5 linked regions of the Mus musculus genome follow. The protein of the gene in region 5 purifies or fractionates together with the protein of the main gene of each other region. This does not show direct contact. Links are inferred from orthologs where the notes say so. Each region holds a gene or a part of one and is shown on either strand. Other genes may lie near its edges. The genes, in order: Arfgef2, Spag5, Otud4, Arfgef1 and Mycbp.

Region 1 (4,307 bases), on a different chromosome or scaffold from region 5:
TGCCGGTGAATTGAGCCAATTCAAGAGAGGTAAGATTATATTAAATGTAGGTTTCCTGGGAAGCTGCGAAGCTGCTCTCAGTTGAGTTCACTGGTCCTGAGGAAGGAGGCAAGGCAAGTCGCCATGGGAAGAGAGGAAGAGTGCTTGCAGAGAGAGAGAGAAAGAGAGAGAGAGAGAGAGAGAGAGAGAGAGAGAGAAGCCAAAATGTCTGGAAGAGCCTCTGCCTCTGAGTGAAAAGGAAGGAGAAGGGCAGCCCAACCCTTGTGCTGGAAAGTTCAGGGTTGGGAGCAGGGGATGCCAGGTAGGGACTGAGGGATGCTGGGAGAACCTGGAGGCCAGGTCAGCTTTGGTATGTAAAATATGCAACTCAGTCCCTCATCCCAGAGAGGACATTGAGTTCAAGGTCAAGGACAGCCGGCGATACACATCAGGATTGTATCAAAACAACAACAACAAACAAAACAAACAAGTAAAACTCTAGCGACAGAAGGATTACTTCTTACAAACTGGCCCGCCAGGAGCTCTCTCTCCTGTGGCAGCAGGACTGTGTCCAGGGCTGGTGTGGTTTGCTGTCAGAGATACAAATCTGGAAGAGATAGACACCGTGAATATACCTTCCAGCCTACCCTTCTTTCCCCTCCCCTCCTCTCTCTTCTCTCTTCCCTTCTGGCTTCATCCTCAGTCCTGGTTCTTAACTTCCCTGAGCCTCCTTTCCATCCCTGATTTCTCTGCCCTTCCTGGATCCGGCATCTGACCTTCCCTACTCTCTGTCACCTCTCTCATTCCATTCACTTCCTTTTGCCCATCTCTCTTCTCTCGACTATTATTACTCTCACTAATTCTTTTTTTTAAAGATTTATTTATTTATTTATTTATTTATTTATTTATTATGTGTACACTGTAGCTGTCTTCAGACACTCCAGAAGAAGGCATCAGATTTCATTACGGGTGGTTGTGAGCCACCATGTGGTTGCTGGGATTTGAACTCAGGACCTTTGGAAGAGCAGTCGGTGCTCTTAAACACTGAGCTATCTCACCAGCCCTCACTAATTCTTTTTACGATTTTTTTCTTTCCCCTTTACTCCCTCTTTCGCTTTTCTCAGCATATCTAGCGCATGCTCTTAGTCTCTTCCTACCTCCGATCACTTGCATCTTTCCTTCAGGGCTGCCCATGTCTATAGGCTTTGACCTGCATTTTCTTCCCCTTCATAGTCATTGACCATCACTCCCCTACCTGGCCCGGTTATACTACTTAGACACGCCCGGACCAGCACCACTCGCGTAGGCCCCGCCCCAACCGAACAGACCACGCCCCACCACAGGTCTACTGCCCCGCCCACCCGCCCCACCCACAGAACTCCACCCCACTCTGGCTCCGCCTCCCGGCCGGCCCCCCACCCTTGGGGTCACAGGGTCGACCGACGCTCAGCAGACGCAGCGACACCGCCAGTCACGTGGTCACGTGACGCGCTGCAACTTGGCGGCGCCGTGGGGCCGGGGCGTCTCTTCCTGACAGGGCGGCGCGCACGGACGCGGCCGGTGCCGGCCGGGTCGCCGGGCCCTCAGCCTCGCTCTCCTGCTCGCTCGCACCGCCGGCTCGCGGGGTCGCCGGCCCCCGCAGGCCGGGGCCATGCAGGAAAGCCAGACCAAGAGCATGTTCGTGTCCCGGGCCCTGGAGAAGATCCTAGCTGACAAGGAGGTGAAGCGGCCCCAGCACTCCCAGCTGCGTAGGGCCTGCCAGGTGGCGCTCGGTGAGTGAGCCACCCCGGCCTGGCCCGCGCCGGCTTCCCCACGCCGGCCGTTACCCTCCGGGCCTGCTGCCCTCCACTCCTCCCAGCCCGAATCCCACCCTCCCGTCCTCTTCCGCTCGCTGTCCCCGTGGGAGCTGGTGTTGGGGCGGCCGAGACTGGCCCAAGGTCACCTAGCAAGTTGGTGACAGCCACGGCTGGTTTTCCAGCTTCCCTGCCTGGGGCCCTTGCCACGACTCCTTGTCCCGTTTCCTGGTTCCTCCCCTCACCATCTCCAAGTCCTCTGAAGCAGTAGCTCTCGATCTTAAGTTTTTCCTTCAGCGCCACTATGCTGGTTGGGGGCTCTCCCACGGGAGCGATCAGAGCAGGTCAGAGAGCTGCCCGGTTGGTGCCGAGGAACCCCGGAGGCTTGTTTGGGAAATGTCTCACTGGAGAACATTGGGGTTCCCAGGGCGCTTCGCCTGGAAGGGATGTAAGATGATCTATATTTCAGGCATTGGACAGCGTGTACGACTTCTACTCATTTTAGGGCGGGTCCCTAAAATAAAGGTTCTGTAGAGCAAAGATACTTGTCTGATTGCTTCAATGCGGTGTCCTGTGCATTTATGACAGTGCTTCGCACACAGTAGTTGCTCAGTAAATATTTGCTGGTTGAATGGATCCATGGATTGTGGAAAGACAGAAGTCTCTAGCTCCTAACTAGGTAAAAGCTCGGTAGTTGACACCAACATCAGTCTCCTATCTTTAGTTACTTCTCGAGAGCCTGTGTAGCAGGTACTGAGGAGATGTCTATGAAGGAGAAATGGAATCCTTTGTCCCTGTGGATCTTCTTAGGTTCTGATAGAGCAGACAAAACAGTACTAATAAGTACTGCTGTCAGAAAAAAGACTTAAGTGATACAGAGGACCTGAGGTCTGCTTTAGGTTGGATGGTCAGGAAAGTAGTCTTGTCTGAAAGTGTGACATTTGAGCCCAGGTCTGAAAGGTAAGAAATGTCGACTGTGTGGAGGTTCAAGAGGAAAAAAGTTGTGGACGGAGAGCGTCAGGACATTTGACCAGAGCTGTCTCCCTGTGAATTCATCGCCCTGTGCAATCCATGGGATTTGGTTAAAAGGCCTGTTGTCCTAAAAGGTTGAGTAAACAGAAGGGCTGAGTTTCTGTTAGTCACTCTTCTCCATGGGTGCAGGAGAACGTCCACTTGAGACCTTGGAATGGATTTGTGAGCTTTGCACTTCCCGGTGAATAAGATTCAGGCCTCAAATATGTGGGAAGCATTTGAGAGTCCCTAAGGGTCAGAAACTGTTGTTGATCTTGGGGGTTGCTTGAGGCCTGTGTAATCCTGAGCAGCTAATCTTGTGAAATTCAGGGTCTGTGGAAGGGATTTACTGAGACCTAAATGTTAAAGCTTTTCTGTTTTGAAAACCAGGGCCAAGAGTTGGGTTTTGTTCTATCAGGAATGTAGGGTAAGCATTGGAAAAGCAGCTGTGAGGGAGGCATGAGCCTCAGGCTGAACCCTCCTAGACTCCATTCTTGCCATAGGGCTTCACGTTTTAACTTCTTAATTTATTTTTATTTTATTTTATTTTTTGGTTTTTGTTTTTCGAAACAGGGTTTCTCTGTGTAATCCTGGCTGTCCTGGAACTCACTCTGTAGACCAGGCTGGCCTTGAACTCAGAAATCCACCTGCCTCTGCTTCCCAAGTGCTGGGATTAAAGCCATGTGCCACCACTGCCGGGCTGGCTGTCTTTGATTGCTCTCCACTTATGCAAGACAGTGTCTTTCCCTGAACTAAAGCTCACCAATTCTGCTAGCTAGCTAGCCAGCTTGCTCAAGAACCCCCTGTCTCAGCCTCCCAAGAACTTGCGCTATAGGGAGCCACCACACACGAGTGGCTTATTTGTATTTAAAAATGGGTTCTGGGGAGCCGAACGCTGGTCCTCACACTTCCACTGTGAGCACTTTACCCACTGAGCTACCCTTCCAGCCCCATACATTCCTCTTCTTAAATGAGGTTACTGAGACCCAAGAAAAGGCCTTGAGATACAGGATAAGGGGGGCACAGGTACTCTGCAGTATTTTAACTGTTCAGAAATAAAGTCTTTTCACCTAACTAAGCACATAGCTCCTATCTTAAATGATAGCTCCTTTAAGCCAGCCCTGGGTGTGAACTCCCTAACCACTGATAACAAGCCATCCCTCCAATTTCACATAACCTAGAGTGAAGTTACCTCCTGTCAGGGCCATTTCTTACACATGTGTGTATGCAGTAAGTATGCATGTTCACACATGAGAACACGTGTGTATAAATATATAATTCAAACGTGCATTTCTACAGCCTAAATTGGAAAAAATAAATCTGAACTTTTACACAAAAAATATAATCCGAGGGGAAAAAAAAAGAACCATCTAATAATGTCTCAGTGTTATGGCCCAGTATGGCTCGCAGGACAATTTAAGCAGACCCCAGCAATGTGATATTTGATGCTAAAATTTCTGAACAAGAAATTAAAACTTGGGCTGAGAGATGGCTCAGCGGTTAAGAGCACTGACTGCTCTTCCA
Region 2 (2,197 bases), on a different chromosome or scaffold from region 5:
GACGATGCCCTTCCCACATCATGGAACCCTGCCAACAGGGCCCTAGAGGGAAGAGATGGACTTGTGTTTGTCTCTACCACAATCAGTCCTTTGCTGTGTAAGGCATTATGTGGAATGTTGGGGATTAAGCCTGGTTTAGAGGAGAGATCTCTAAACATCAGCAGGTAGGGCAGAGGCCCACCTAACAGTGCCCCACTTCAAGACATGGAATAATGGAATTGAGTTTCTGTGCTCTGCCCCATATTTACCAGTGCCTACCCCCAAGGGGGATGGGGAAAGTAAGTGAATGGAGTCTTTTCTGTTCCCCCCAGGCAGTGGTCCAGGGAACAGGCAGTCCATTGCCCTCCCCCCCACCCCCTTTTTTTGTTGGTAGAAGAAGAGAATCAAGCAAAGAAAAGCAGTCAGCCTTGGCTTTAGCTGCAGCAGGAAGTGGTGAAGGGTGCCTAGGCTGAAGTGCTGATCTGCCCACTCCTACCCCCAAAATAAGATTCAGTGGACTGGAAGGACTACATTAAATACACTTTATTTAAATAACATAAAACATGGTCGGCTCTATGCCAATTGGTCTTATTATTGGGATAAGGGTTGGGATAAAGAGCCCTGAAGGAAACTGGAGTGGAGTGGAATTCATTTTTCAGGGTTTTTGCTGTGTTGTCTGTGTTAGGTTCCCAAATTCCTGGGATTTGGCAGCACTCCAACTTTGGCGTCTGGAGCAGCTGGAACTACAGGTGCACACCACTGCATTCCAATATTTTCAGTTTCTTAGCTCAGAAATTCTAGCAATCCTTGTAACTCCTTGCAACTCTTCATAGTCTCTGGGATAGACAACAGAGTCTGGGAAGAGACAGAAAACAGTTCTGAATCACAAGCCTGAAGCCAAAGCTCCTGGCCTGTGATGCTGGAAAAGTGAAAATGAAGCCACTGTAAGAAGTCAGGCTGAGGGCTGGAGAGATGGCTCAGCGGTTAGGAGCACTGCCTGTTCTTCCGAAGATCCTGAGTTCAAGTCCCAGCAGCCACATGGTGGCTCACAACCATCTGTAATGAGATCTGACTCCCTCAGAGGACAGCTACAGTGTACTTTCATATAATAAATAAATAAATCTTTAAAAAAAAAAAAAAGTAGTCAGGCTGAGAACCGGAGCCATGCTCCTCAGCCCCTCCGGCAGCCAGGTCCCACTACCTCCTTCACTTTTACCTCATAGACATGCTGAATTGTGTCATCGAGTTTCTTTAACTCTGTGTCAGAGCGCCGAAGATTCTCCTCCAGGATGTGCCTCTACAATGCAAACAGGCTTCATGAACCCTACACGTAAAGAACACAGCTAGAGAGAACAGAGGAAATATATATGGCAGGGTGCTTCTGTGGTGGAAGGAAACAGAACTGCTTACATGGCTCAGATACTTGTCCATCAGCTGTTCCTTCTCAGTTTTCATCTCCAGGAACATAACCCTCAGCTTGCTCACCTATAAATATGTCCACGTTAATAGGGGCATAGCGTGGGGTCCCCATTATTTGTACAGCTCCTTTGTTAACTCTGTGTTACCTCCTGTGAGAGAAACACTTTTTCCTGGATCCAGTTAGTAGCCATCAGCTGGCAGCTGGGATCTAGCTGGCCTTCCAGGGCTTCCTGGAGCACTTTAGTCTCTGTCTCTGCACGCCGAAGTGACTGTGTGAGCTGGGTCACCTCCTCTCTGAGGTTCTGGGAACAAGAGCAGAGGTAACCCAACAGCACTCAGGGGTAACGGAGATAACCCAACAGTACTCAGAGGTTCTTTCTCTCCTTCCTCCATCAGGTGGGAAAAGCAGAGACCTGGCCATAGCATCAGGAGAAACGTACTATGAGCTGGCCGCTCTTGTCTATTTGCCCCAGGATCTTCTCGTTCTGCTTCTGTATCACTTCCAGGAGCTCCTTCTCATTCTGTGAAGAAGGACAGAAGCACTGAGGAAAGGCTCACTTCTTTTCAGCCAGAAGACAGGACTGAATGCCCGAGCCATGCTCAGCCCCGGGGACTCGTTCATATCCGTCCACTTATTCAGGACCAAGTCAAGCATGGCACGTCTTGGTTTCAGAACTCTGCTTCAGTTCTGGGCTTTTCTCCTGGGTCTGCTTGGAGAAGACAGGTCAACCCAGTACTAGTTCTCAGATAGGAAGTGTCTGACCCCAAAAGGGCAAAACTAGAGCAGTAGTTGGAACCC
Region 3 (4,313 bases), on a different chromosome or scaffold from region 5:
TCAAGGATTTTTAAAAAAAAAATTATTTAGCTTGCGATATATTTTCTAAAAATAGCACATTTATAGGAATATTTAAATATTAATAGCTTACATTTTAAGTAACGTGTTGCAATCCTACCACCTGGCATGTCTTGGCACCATTCCCAAGAATGCCTACACCTTTAAACCTAAGGTAATTTACCACTTTTCTTTTTCCAACACAACGTCAAGACCGAAGTTCTAATAAATTTAAATGATACGAGATGCTATTGTATGCTAGTAAAATAAAATTCTGACGTCCCAAGAGGTTAAGTTCCGGATTCGCAAACCCAATTGGACTGCTCAGGTCGGATTCCCCGTAGCGTTATCACCGAATTAAAAAAAAAAAAAAAAAAAAAAAAAAGAAGTAATTTCTTCTAACAGGGACAGCTCTTTGTGTGGCAGAGCGCAGCTGCTGTGACAGAATGAGCAGGCATGCCCTTGGCAAAGCCAGATCTTGTCAGAGTGTGAGCTGTCCCAATTTCAATCAACTGTCAACGCTTCATTGAGGGTCAAAATGGCTTAGGCTGGCGGCTCCAAGGGCCTCGGGTGAGGTGCCCGGTTTTCTGCTCTAAGCGTTTAGCCACCCCTAAGAAAACGCTAGGAGGGGAGGCCCTGAGTGGGGTGCGGACAGGTGCGTCCTCTGGAACTACACAAAGGGCCGGCGGCACCGCCACTGAGCCCCTAGCAACTGCACGCAAGCTGCGCTCGCGCGCTTTCCGCCGCCCCACGGCGCTCAGGGCGGGAGGCTCGCCGGGAGGGCGGGGCAGCGCGCGCAGGTCAGCGGCGTAAGCGACAGACACCCTCGGGCCTGCTCGCGGACGCGGCCTGGGAAGCGCGAAGGCAGTTCTAGGTTCGGCACCGCTAGCATTGTAGGGATTTGTAGTCCGCGAGCCCGTGGGGCACCTCCCCTCCGGGTAGGCCGACCCAGGCGTCCCCGCCCTCTGCACGAGGACTTCCTGCCGCGGCTTAAACTACAACTCCCGTCGTCCGCTGCGCCGAGGGCTGAAAGCGAAAACAAATTCTAGGCTGCGAGGTTGCTGCCCTCCGCCCGGCGCCCCTTCCCGCTCCCCGCCCCTCAGGCGCCCTCCGGCGAGGTGGGGAGACGAGCGGCCGTGGCTTTCTCTCCGCGTTTCCTCGGTTCTCGGCGTGGGGTGCGTGCGGGAGACGCAGGCCTCGCTTAATCTCAGCCGGGCGCGCCGCCGGGGCTTTTCTCGCCTCACACCGGTCGAGACCCGGAAACTTGTGGGGGCGGCGACCCCCGGGCTGCCCGCGGGCGCGTGTCCCTCCGCGGAGGCGGCCGCGTGCGGATGGCCATGCACTAGGCTGGGCTCACCTATGCTCCGGGAGAGCGCCGGCCACCGCCTCGGGCCGCTGCCGCCACCGCCTCTTCCTGCCGCCGCTCGCCGTGTCCGCGTCGGAGCCGGAGCCCGAGCCGCAGCCTGCCCCAGGCCCGGGCGTCGAGCAGCCGGCGGCGCGGCCATGTGGGGCTAGTTCGCCCCGCGCACGCTGCAGCGGACCGGCAACATGGAGGCAGCCGTCGGCGCGCCCGACGGCGTGGACCAGGGCGGCGTGGGGCCGCTGGAGGATGAGACGCCCATGGACGCCTATCTGCGCAAACTGGGCTTGTATCGGAAATTGGTCGCCAAGGACGGGTCGTGCTTGTTCCGGGCTGTGGCCGAGCAGGTAAAGGACCCGGGCCGGAGCCGGGCGGGCGCGGGGCTGGGTGCGACATGCCGCCCGCAGCTGCCTGGCCGCCCACGGCGGGGCTGCGCGTGGCTCGCTGTCGTCACAGCGGCCCATTGTAACGCCGGCACGGGACCGAGTGAGGACATCTCGGGCGGCCTGCTCGCAGCCTGACCGCCAGGGACCCAGCGACATGCTGTTTTTGAGTTGTGTTCCGCGTTCACCTGCGCTCAGTTTTTAGCAGCCGAGTGTTCCCACTAGTTAACCTCATGTTTACTGGAGGAGGTGCGGCACTCAGTGTGACTGCTTCACATTTTTTTTTTCCTGTTGCTGGACTTTGGAATGCGGGGTAGTCGGTCTCACCGGTGTCACTCGAAACAGGCGGCCAACTTTGCTGTTTAAGGAAAGCAGTCTTCCTGTATAGGGTCTTCCCAGTGACTTAATCTTGAGTAGGTCCCATACTATACTATGTTGGAATCAGGCAAGAATTTACTCTTCTAAAGGCCTTTAAGTAATAGGATGGATTTTCAGTATAGGCACATGTCGGGTTTTTTTTTTTGTTTCCGTTTTTTGTTTTGTTTTCCTTATTGGTCAAAAATTATTCCCAGTACAGATCGAACATTTTACCAAAGAGAAGTGAGTTAGAACTCAGGAGTGGGACGAGTTCCAGGGAAGAATACTCAAGGCTTTTCTTTTTTGAGAGCGAGCCCTTTTCCCCATGTTATGTAATCAGATGTAGGTGTGGGGTCACCAAAACCCATCCTATATTTGAAGACTAGCTGCTAAAGTAGTTGGATTAAAAAAGTTTCACATTACTGCTCCAGTTTGTATTTCATACCATTTACAGTTTGCTTTCCTTTGGCTTAATCTGGAGTTTTTATGGTTTTGTCCCCTCCCGCCCGCCCCCTTTTGTGAGCTAACTAGCTTTTAAGATTTCTGTTTTAGAATCACCAGGCTATGTATTTTTCAGAGTATGTAAATATGGAACACTTTGCACTTATGACAGGTATGTCCATTGAAACATTCTTTGATGCTTCCCAAACCATCCTACCATTTGATATCTCTTATTTTCAGAAATGTAGGAAGCTCCAGTGTGGGTGCTGTTTCCAGCCCAGTCTTTACTGTTACATAGGTAAACAGTCTGCTCCATTTGTGAGTTTTCCAGATGAAGAAGATTGTCTCCTTGTCTCAGCCTTCTTGGCCTCTAGCACCTCTAGAAGCTGAAGAGGGGAAGTGAAGTCATCCCATGGTGTCGGTTTATATTATAGTGCATTAGCAAGTTTGTGGAGGATGGAGGTAGAGGTTAGTGTTTGGAGTTGAGTTATCCAGGCCTATTTAAAGTGAGACAGAAAGGTGTGTTTCTGCCCATGAGACATGCCACAGATCCTTGGGGATAGAAGAGCAGCTTGGGGGACTCAGTGTCTGCACAGTGGGCAAGAGCTAGTTGCACTAAACTCATTGATGGGGGTAAACTCCGTTTCAGCCTTGGGATCTGGGTTAGTCTTAAAGGACCTAACCTTTACAAATTTGGGGACGCTTTATTTTGAATATATTGAGCCTACATCTAGGGGAAGCAACATAAGTATTCCAGTAGATCCAGACTGAGTGAGGAAGTAATGGTGAGGAAGAATGTGTTAGCCTCCGCTGCCTTTAAAAGTCTGTAGGAAGGATTTGTTTTAGTGGAATTTCTTTTCTGGTAAATAGTTCAATAAATATTTTTAAGAGTCAGGAAGCTAAATAGTCCTAAGAGAAGAGGATTCGAGCGCGCTTGAGATTAGCCTTTTCCCCTTCAGATTACCTGATTTAGAGATGCTTTTTCCTTTTTTTTTTTCTTTTTTCTTTTCACTTGTGGATTTGGGCCTGCAGGAAGCCTGACCTGAATCAGCTCCTAGCCTTGTAGCTAAAAATAGGGCACTCTTAGAGGACTTGCTAAAACAGTGTCTCAGCCTTTCCCTGTGTTTATCACTACCTTGTTTTAAAGCTTCTACCTTTAGCCTATTTTCATGGAGCAACATAGCAGACCACTTGAATTTTGAGTGTCCAGGGATTGAGAAGTAATTTACTATTTGAAGAGTTGTCATTTCAGTCTTGCTTTTTTTGCATTGTTTGACTTACTAAATTATCAATATTCTACACTTCATGTACATTGATGAGAGTTTTGCATCTGGATTGCAGGTTCAGGTTGATGACATGTTCTAAAATCTTTGTTAAAAGGAGAAAAAACAGATACTTGTGATGTAGTTACTGATGAGAAGTGAGCTTTACTAATTTCTGCCTGCCACCTGTTGTTAGGTGAATGGCTTGAACACAAACCGGAGGCGCCTTGCTGACAGGCAAGCCCTATCAGGTGACACTGTGGCTCACTCAGATTAATAATGCTTGATCCATAACAGTGTCTAATGCAGCTACTGGGAAAGCTATATTGCCAAATGTAATTTGTTGAAATGGCAAACAGTTGGTGTTTTTGAAAATGCGTGGACGGTTCTTGTGATGCGGGAAGCTTAGACTGTGCAAGGCTACTTTCTAGTAATGTCCCAAAACAGTAAGAAAAGAGACTCCAGCTGCGTTTTACACCTCTCCTGGATAACAACCAAGAACTGGAGATGCCA
Region 4 (3,944 bases), on a different chromosome or scaffold from region 5:
GATTCTTAACGTTTTCTCTCAGAAGCAATGCGGAAATTTGAGTTCTGTGGCATTAAAGCAGGCACAGTATGGTCAGGAGTATCTGTTCTTAAAGCTTTTCCATTCTGAAAACTCCGGATTAAAGGTAGAGAACGGGAGGGCTCTGTGCGGTACCTGAGTCAGAAGCACTCACCTTAACTTCAGTGTCAATCAGAAAAGGGCATGAAACCTAGGGTTTACTGATTTACCCTATTGAGAGATTTAAAAAGTGAAAATATTCCTGAATCTTCGCCCAGTGGTTTTTAGCTTACGTTTTGCAAAAGAGATCCATCTTGAAGTAATTGAAAGTATCGGTCAAGGATAGCAATTTCCTACACCTGAGAAGGAAATTTAGACCCCGTGTGGCAGGCGGAAACCAGGTGCGCCTGAGGGAGCGACGCGGGTGTTCCTGTGGCCCTAGGACCGCGAGGAACTTTGCTCCCCGGCGACCGGCTGTCCAGAAAGTTGGGGAAGCCCGTGCACGGTAGGCAGGGGTCCTGTCGTCCCGGCCTTGGGAGCGCCCCTGTGCTCCGATCACGCATCCCAGTAGCCCGCAAGAGCAGAAGCCCCGCGCCACGCCGTGCCGCGCAGCAGGACGCCCGCCACGCCCCACGCTGCCCTGCAGGCGAACGCGGGAGGCGGCGAGTCCCCGCCGGGCCGCCGTAGAGTTGCAGCTCCGGCCGCTCCTCCCGCGCCGCCCTCCGCCCCTTGCCTCTCGGCGCCGCGGCAGCTCTGGGCTGGCGCTGGCACCGCCGCCGCCGCCGCTTCCTCTCCGCAGCCGTTCGGCCGCTGCGTGACGCGTCGTTTCCTCTCAACATGGCGTCCGGGGCAGGTCGGCGGTGATGGAGGCCAGTCGGCGGCTGCGGCGGATGCTGGTCCCCACGGTAGCTAGGGCAGCCTCGCGCCTGCTGGCAGTGTGAGGCGCCGCCACCTAGGCCCTCGGCCCCGGGAAGACGGCCGCCCGGGCCGAGTGCCGCCGCCGCCGGGCCGTAGGGACGAGTGAGGCGGGCGGCCGGGAAGCGACCCCCGGGCCGACGGCGCCGAGGCCGGACGGGCGCGGCCCTCGAACGGCGGCCCCTCGAGCGTGGCGAGGCTTTCGACGCCCTTGGCGGCCCCGCGGCCGCTCCGCGTCGCCGGCCGCTTCCTGGTGCCGCCGCTGCCCTCCACGCCTCCTCGCCCCCACCGCCACCTCCTCGCCTTTCTCCCTCCCCGTCCTCATCCCGGTCCCCGTCCCCCTCCTCCGCCTTCCCTCCAGCCGCCGGGACCGCCGCCGCCGCCGCCTCCTCCGCGTCCATGTATGAGGGCAAGAAGACGAAGAACATGTTCCTGACCCGGGCCCTGGAGAAGATTCTGGCCGACAAGGAAGTGAAGAAGGCGCATCACTCCCAGCTGCGCAAAGCGTGCGAGGTGGCCCTAGGTGAGCCCGGAGGAGGCCGCGGCGCGGGGTGCCGGCCGCGAGAGGTGGGCGGCGTGGCGGGCGGCTCGTCCGGGGAGCCCTGCTGGCCGCCCGACTGGAGTTGACAGCAACTCGGCTGGACGCGGGGCACCGGCTGAGTGGAGGAGGATAGGCGGCCAGCCGGGGCCCCTGGAACTCGAGATGGTTACGGATCGCGAGGCACCTGGCTTCGAGTGGTCCACAGGACGGGATGGGGGGAGGGTTGTTGGTGGCCCCTGCGGTGCGGACAGAATGTCATCCTTTGTGATGGAGCAGAAGATGAGCTGTTGTTTATTAGCTTAGAAATTGAGGTGGGGCCGATCTGACGAGACTGAGCGTGGGGGAGGGTTCCGTATTGCAATTACAATAACTTTATGATTTGGCGTGGTACTTTGGGAAGAAAGGTTGAAGTTGTTCCCTCGTTGACAGTCTCGAGAAAGGGGGTTGCAAAAGGTGCCTCGAGTTTGCCATCTCTCTGCCCCAGCTACAGGAAAAAAGAGTAGTAATGTAACCTACTGGGCTGACCTGGAAGAACAAGACTAGAGGTTAAGGGGGTGGCGGTGGCCGTGTCTGTGTGGAAATGTGGAAGGAAAGAACCTTTAGATAAATTGACTTTAGGTAACACAGAAAGGGGTGTGTGTGAAATGAGAGAAAAGAGAAAGACAATGACACCCACCAGCCACATGTCTGGACAGTGGCAGCTGTTCTCAAGCTTCAGTTGTGATTTATAGTTCAGACAGAAGAGGTCTAGTGTAATGAAGCCACAGCAGGGCAAATCCCAAACAATACCTATAAAACCATTGTAGGCAGATAACGATTTGTTTGCGGTAGGTTTGGTAGGTCTAGTGCATCCATCAATAAGAGAATTGTTAAGGGAGAAGCCAGAACATTTAACACAGATAAATTTGTGATGCTTACCCTTTTGTTTATAGCCCTGGACCAGAGCAGCTCAACTTTGCAAGAAATGAAAATGGTTAAAAGTGATTTTTGAAAAACATTTTTGAAAGGGGACAAACTAACTTTATGCTAAAGTAAGGGGTCCAGATAGGTTAGAGACAATTTTGCATTTAAGTTTTGACTTAAGACTACCATTTAACTTACTCCAAATGTTACAGCCGCCCTTCCTCCTTTTTTTCTCAATACTTAGTAATATGAAAAACATCAACTGGATTTGTTTAACATCCACCAAAAAATGGTCCTTTTTGTTGGTGGTGTTTTGTTGTTAATGTAGTAGTATAGTGGACTTAAATAGTTCCTTCCTTTGCCCTTCATTGGTCATAAGTTCCCATTTTGTTATTGTAACTAACAACACGTTTCCAGGTGAATGAGAAGACTATTGTACAGTTGCAAAAATTGAATTTATATTTGGGTCCTGAAAGAAGTCATTATTAATTGGAGTGATAGGAAGGGTTTTAAGAACTTTTAAAATTATTGTGTGCTGTAGGGTTTTCAGTAACCTGGCAGGGTAAAAAAACAAATGAAATTCAAATTAAAGCTTTAGTATTTAAGAACTAAGCTTTGCTGTGTTAGAGTATGTGTGTCCATTTTTTTTCCTTTTTTTTTTTTTTTTTTTTTTTTAAGCAAGGGGCATGGGGGCATGCAGACAGGTTCCAAGTAGCCCAGGCTGGCCTAATATTTCTTTGTAGCTGAGGACAACTTGAACTTTCCTAAACCACTGTCTCTGATTTTGAATTCTGGGATTATAGACAAATGACGGCTTGTTTTAGAGGTGCAATGCAGAGGATGGAACCCAGGGATTCATTTGTAGTGGCAAGCATTCTATCAACTGAAAAATATCCAAACCCAGAAAGTATTTCCAGTATGCTAAAGCATACACATTTACAGGTTTTAAGTAAACTGGTTTTTATGTACTTTTTTTCTCTTTCCAAATACTAAAATGAGTATGTTGGCAGCTCATCGAAATGAGAGTCTGGGGTTTAAGTCCATCTTTTGTTACAGTTCAGTATTACTGTGCTTGGACTTTCTCAGTCCAGTTAAGGGTAGTGGACTCAGTGAATGTGAGTGCGTTCTTCTGCTAGATACATCTGGTATTCTTGCCGCTCTACATTTCTTCAGAAAGTCTGTAGCTCCCTTAACTGCAGCCCTGACATTTTTAGGCATAGGAATTCTTGATGGTGTGCTCTTTAAATCTTTTGCCATTTAACGAGTACCAGAGTACTTTGTTTACAGGAAGTTTTTTGGGTGTTTTTGTTTTTAACAAGAGGCATTTTCCATATTTCATAAAAGTTACATTTAGCTCTCTATAAAGTAAATTTTCAGTATGCAGTCTCATGGTAAATAACCCCTGATTTTTTTTTCTTCCAGTCATCTGTCAGTATTAAGTTTGGGATAGCTGCTATCTATCACTGGCTGACTTGGAACTCATTATGTAGACCAGGCTACCCTTGAACTATAGAACTTATGGCAGTCCTCCTGCCTCTGCCTCCAAGGTACTGAGATTACTGGTGCCTACTGGTGTGTGTGGCTATTG
Region 5 (4,313 bases):
CACTCCATGTAAAATTCCCAAAAAGCTCAACTAAAAAAACTGGATGAGTCTCGAATGCCTTAGAGCAGAGATGGGAGGGAGGAAGGGCATTGCCAACAGGAACAAAGGGAGGCAAGGCAAGCACCACCCACCAGGGGACTCTGCTTTGCACTTTTTCATTCAGTTTGTGGTTGAAGCTGGGTTCATAAGTTCTTTCAACATGAGTTTAAGTTCTGTGGCTTCTCATAACCAAATATGTTTTTTTCTCAAGACCAACAGAAAAGACAGTATTTTCATTATTTGTGCAACATAGAGCCATCGTTTTGCTTTTCTTAGATAGTCTAGAAACTTTGCAGCTAGGGAGCAGTAAGATGACTTGGTGGTAAAGGCACTCGTTGTCAAGCCTGACAACCTTAATGCAATTACTGAGACTAACGGTGGAAGGAGAGCAAGTCCTATGAGTCTTCCGATCTCCAACTGCACCACGGCATGAATACTCTTCCCCAACTCCTGGAAAAAAAAAAATCCACTGGATTTCAAAAAGATAAGGTGGGGGTAGGGCCTTACATTAAAACAAGACTACAATGAATTCTTTGTTTTGGAGACAGGGTTTCTGTGTAGCCCTGACCATCTTGGACCAGAATGGCTTCGAACTCAGGATGGTCTCCACTTTTCTTGCACTGAGATTAAATTCGTGTGCCACCAGCGCCTAGTGAATAGAATGACTTCTATATAGAGAGATCAAAACAAAATCTAGCCAAGTAGCAGGCACAACTACAAATTCATTAAAGGGCCCTCTTCTGCACTTAGAAATCTCCTTAGAGAGACATACACACTTAGTACTACCTATAATTATTTTCAACATAAAAACACGCATAATATATATGGAAAAGAACTTAATGTTAACCACTAAGGGGGTATAAAAAAAAAAAAAAGGAAACTAATGACAAAGGCAGAGAAAAGAACCACTTCAGAGGTCATTGCCCTAATCCAACATTGCTGTAGAGATAAGTTTTCTACCAGCCAGCAGTTATCTGCAAATATCACGGGGCTTAATGATTACAAGCAAGCCCTGAACAAGCCCAAAAGAGATTCTTTATTTAGCTGAGGGTGACCTTGAACTTTTTCCTGGTGCTGGGTATTTTTCTGAGCCAAGAAACACGGCATTGGTCTGTTCCTCACCAAAGACCCAAATGACAAGGAGTGCGCGCCCACTAACACGTGGGGAGATACTACATCAGGAGCCTCTAACTCCTGGCCACACCCATCCAGGGCCCCACAGGTCGTTCGCCTGGCTTTACCTAAACCTCGCCTCTTGCTAGGCAACCGAATCGCCGCGGCAACCGGAACAGGAAGACGCGAGACTGCCCGGAACCGCGGAGGGCGGGCTCACGCAGCCTCTCTAGGCTCCGAGGAGACAGGGATACACAGCGTCCCGGTCGCCATGAAAACAGGCCACACCCCGGTGGCCCCGGCCCGTGCCTGCCCAGTGCGCAGACGCGCGCGCCGTTCCGCGCATGAGCAGTGAGGCTTGGAGCCCGCCTGCCCGTGTCTCCGGCGCCAGCTACGCCGCTGTGGCTGTCACTATGGCCCATTACAAAGTGAGGGGGGCGCGGCGTGGCTCGGGGCGTGCGGGCGGCGCCGGGTGGGAGTTGGGGCGTGTGCAGGGCTTGGGGCCGGCGGCGGGGCGCGCCGTCTTCCTGCTCCGGCCCCGGGCTCCGGTCCCTGACCCGCCGTGTCTCCTCAGGCCGCCGACTCGAAGCGCGAGCAGTTCCGGAGGTACTTGGAGAAGTCGGGGGTGCTGGACACGCTGACGAAAGGTGAGCCGAGGCGGGCGGCTGCAGCCCACGTCCGCGCGCTCTTGGCCAGGTGGGGCCCGCCCCGGGAGCAGCGAGGCCTTGGGGTCCCGTGGGTCGGGCGCACGCCGGCCGCGGGACTTCGCCTCGCCCCGGTGGTCGCTCTCTGCCCCGGACTGAAACTCTTGCAGCTGTTGCAAAGTCTCTCCAACTTCCGTTGCTTTCCCGCGAGCAGCCGCAGTGGACACGTTAGCAAGACCTTGAGATCCCAGTTGCTCCCTGCCGTATAGTGTGCGGGATTTTACAAATTTTTCTTTTGGACAAAGGCAACTAAGAAAATGACTGGATTTGAAAGTGGGTTATTAAATGGCTCTAGTCCCCGAAGCTGGAGATTCATAGACAGTTTGGGCTGTGGCTTTTCAACTCTTTTAGCCTATAGTAATTCCTACTTTGTGTAGATATCATAATTAAAGTGGAATTACAATTTGAAAAGTGCTTCAGAGCACATAAAAACAGCTATATTCTTTACTTTAAAACAATGGAAGCGTAAAGTGTATCCCTTCCTTTCTGGGTGTAAGGCTAGAGAGTATGGTGGTTGGAATCATAGAATAAAGCTAACTGGCCTTAACAGTATATTGAATGCCTTCTACATGGTAAGAACTCAACATTGCTTGGTGTTTTCAAGGGAATAGAATGGAATGGCTGGCAGGGATTGAAAACTTGGTCCTTTTGAGAATAGGAAGTGTCTGGGAAATAATTTGTATCTGCTTTTTAGGGAACAAAAGCTAGGGGAAAATTTGGGAGAACTTAGAAGAAAGCAGGGCTTTTAATTCTCTTACATGGATGAACTGACAAGTTAGAATTACTACTCATTTCCTTATGTCATCGGAAGTCAATGTGAGCAAAAGTATAAGGAACTACTCTGTGAGACCACTGTAGTTTGTGGCATCAGAAGTGTCACAGATGGCTTGGAATTCTGTTAAAAAAAACCCCTCATGTTTCTTTCATGTAATGATTTTACTCCAGCCGTGTGTTCTGGGCACCAAGGGGATACAGCCATGGAAATGTTCTTGCTTTTGGGAGCTTGTAGCTTAGATAGGGACACACACACACTAAAACTAGTGCCAGCTAGTGGTAAATGTCTAACTTAAACCATAGCAAGGATAAAGATGGGACATTTTACATGGAGTGGCAGAGGGAAGACCTTGAACAGTACGGATAAGTATCCTTAATCTGAAATTTTGAAATCTAAATTGCTCTCAGATTTGTAACTTACTGAGTATTGATGTGGAAAGTTCCATACTTGACTGCATAAATTATGTCAGTCAAAATTCAGGAGCCTAGGAATATGTACTTGTTCAAGATCATGTTTATATTATGTGAATAAGGTCTATATGGAATGTAAATTAATTTCATGTTTAGGCTTGGATCTCATCTCCAAAACACTCATTATGTATGAGTAGATAGTTCAACCTCTGGAGATAAACACTGATACACTTTTGGTCCCAAATAATCTGTGTGGTAGGGTCGTGGAATGAAATGGATGCAGGAGGTTGACAGGCAAGAACACTGAAAGGCAGATGGAGTACAATTGTAGATAACTGAATGCAGAGCCAATGTGCAGCCTTCAGGCTGTGTAAGAGAATGGGAACCAAATTTTACAGGATCAAACAGAGATGTTTCATACAAGTTTACATTTTTCTTTCAGCAACATTTCAGAGAGGATTTAAAGTTGTTTCTAACATGAAAACATTGTAAGAAGCCAGGCATGGTGACATGTTTTTAGTGCTCTGGTGAGGGAAAACAGATCTGCATTCACTGCTTGCCTGGAGCATGTATCAAGATCTGTTCCAAAAAAAGTAAACTATAGCTAGGCTAGAGAGATGGCTTAGAGGTAAGATTACTTGATACACAACTATAGGGCTAGAGTTCAGGTACCAGCACTCATAATAAGCCAGACAGGGTCTTGGTGTGTATAATTCTGCTAGCCTAGGTAAAAGGATGGAAGCTGGAGGCTGAGGGAGACCTTGCCTCAAAGGTTTGAGGCATATGCAGAAGACCTAGACATCTTGTTTCATTTCTAATTGCACTTGACAAGCTGAAGTAGGAGGACTGATTGAATCTGAGACCAGCCTTGGCTAAAGAGTAAAACTACATCTTTAAAAAAAAAAAAAAAAAAAAACCAAACCAAACTTAACCAACCAATCATCAACAACAGAACAATAACAACCTTCAAGACAAAAACATCCATGAAGAAGGTGAATGCATAAAATAGCATTTTAGTTATTTTGAGCAGGGTAGCAAACTTTAAAATACCTGGCTTTAAATACCTAGTTGCTAAGAGCCAGCAAGAAGGCTCAGCAGGTGAAGGTGCTTGCTGCCAAGCCAAATGGACCTGAGTTTGTTTGTTTTTTGTTTTTTTGTTTTTTGAGACAGGGTTTCTCTGGATAGCCCTGGCTGTCCTGGAACTCACTTTGTAGACCAGGCTGGCCTCGAACTCAGAAATCCGCCTGCCTCTGCCTCCACGCCTGGCTGGAC

Evidence for each region.
Region 1: the proteins of Mycbp (region 5) and Arfgef2 purify together in Homo sapiens (co-immunoprecipitation; 4 studies listed by BioGRID and IntAct, with this or other methods). This does not show direct contact. The link is inferred for Mus musculus from reciprocal best matches to the Homo sapiens genes MYCBP and ARFGEF2.
Region 2: the proteins of Mycbp (region 5) and Spag5 purify together in Homo sapiens (co-immunoprecipitation; 3 studies listed by BioGRID and IntAct, with this or other methods). This does not show direct contact. The link is inferred for Mus musculus from reciprocal best matches to the Homo sapiens genes MYCBP and SPAG5.
Region 3: the proteins of Mycbp (region 5) and Otud4 purify together in Homo sapiens (co-immunoprecipitation; 3 studies listed by BioGRID and IntAct, with this or other methods). This does not show direct contact. The link is inferred for Mus musculus from reciprocal best matches to the Homo sapiens genes MYCBP and OTUD4.
Region 4: the proteins of Mycbp (region 5) and Arfgef1 purify together in Homo sapiens (co-immunoprecipitation; 4 studies listed by BioGRID and IntAct, with this or other methods). This does not show direct contact. The link is inferred for Mus musculus from reciprocal best matches to the Homo sapiens genes MYCBP and ARFGEF1.

Annotation. Positions count from the first base shown.
Region 1 is NC_000068.7:166,804,085-166,808,391, forward strand, and holds the start of Arfgef2 (brefeldin A-inhibited guanine nucleotide-exchange protein 2), read left to right. Parts: upstream 1-1,496; 5' UTR 1,497-1,630; coding exon 1,631-1,751; intron 1,752-4,307. UniProt on the Homo sapiens protein: Promotes guanine-nucleotide exchange on ARF1 and ARF3 and to a lower extent on ARF5 and ARF6. Promotes the activation of ARF1/ARF5/ARF6 through replacement of GDP with GTP. Involved in the regulation of Golgi vesicular transport.
Region 2 is NC_000077.6:78,320,765-78,322,961, reverse strand, and holds the end of Spag5 (sperm-associated antigen 5), read right to left. Parts: intron 1,920-2,197; coding exon 1,839-1,919; coding exon of another isoform or gene 1,824-1,838; exon of another isoform or gene 1,812-1,823; intron 1,701-1,811; coding exon 1,545-1,700; intron 1,465-1,544; coding exon 1,390-1,464; intron 1,304-1,389; exon of another isoform or gene 1,277-1,303; coding exon 1,196-1,276; intron 835-1,195; coding exon 763-834; 3' UTR 505-762; downstream 1-504. UniProt on the Homo sapiens protein: Essential component of the mitotic spindle required for normal chromosome segregation and progression into anaphase. Required for chromosome alignment, normal timing of sister chromatid segregation, and maintenance of spindle pole architecture.
Region 3 is NC_000074.6:79,638,361-79,642,673, forward strand, and holds the start of Otud4 (OTU domain-containing protein 4), read left to right. Parts: upstream 1-1,502; 5' UTR 1,503-1,545; coding exon 1,546-1,704; intron 1,705-1,743; exon of another isoform or gene 1,744-2,153; intron 2,154-4,313. Other genes in the region: uncharacterized protein Gm51579, read right to left, coding at 993-1,502.
Region 4 is NC_000067.6:10,229,862-10,233,805, reverse strand, and holds the start of Arfgef1 (brefeldin A-inhibited guanine nucleotide-exchange protein 1), read left to right. Parts: upstream 1-1,135; 5' UTR 1,136-1,311; coding exon 1,312-1,435; intron 1,436-3,944. UniProt on the Homo sapiens protein: Promotes guanine-nucleotide exchange on ARF1 and ARF3. Promotes the activation of ARF1/ARF3 through replacement of GDP with GTP. Involved in vesicular trafficking.
Region 5 is NC_000070.6:123,903,508-123,907,820, forward strand, and holds the start of Mycbp (C-Myc-binding protein), read left to right. Parts: upstream 1-1,505; 5' UTR 1,506-1,565; coding exon 1,566-1,580; exon of another isoform or gene 1,581-1,726; coding exon 1,727-1,799; exon of another isoform or gene 1,800-2,054; intron 2,055-4,313. UniProt on the Homo sapiens protein: May control the transcriptional activity of MYC. Stimulates the activation of E box-dependent transcription by MYC.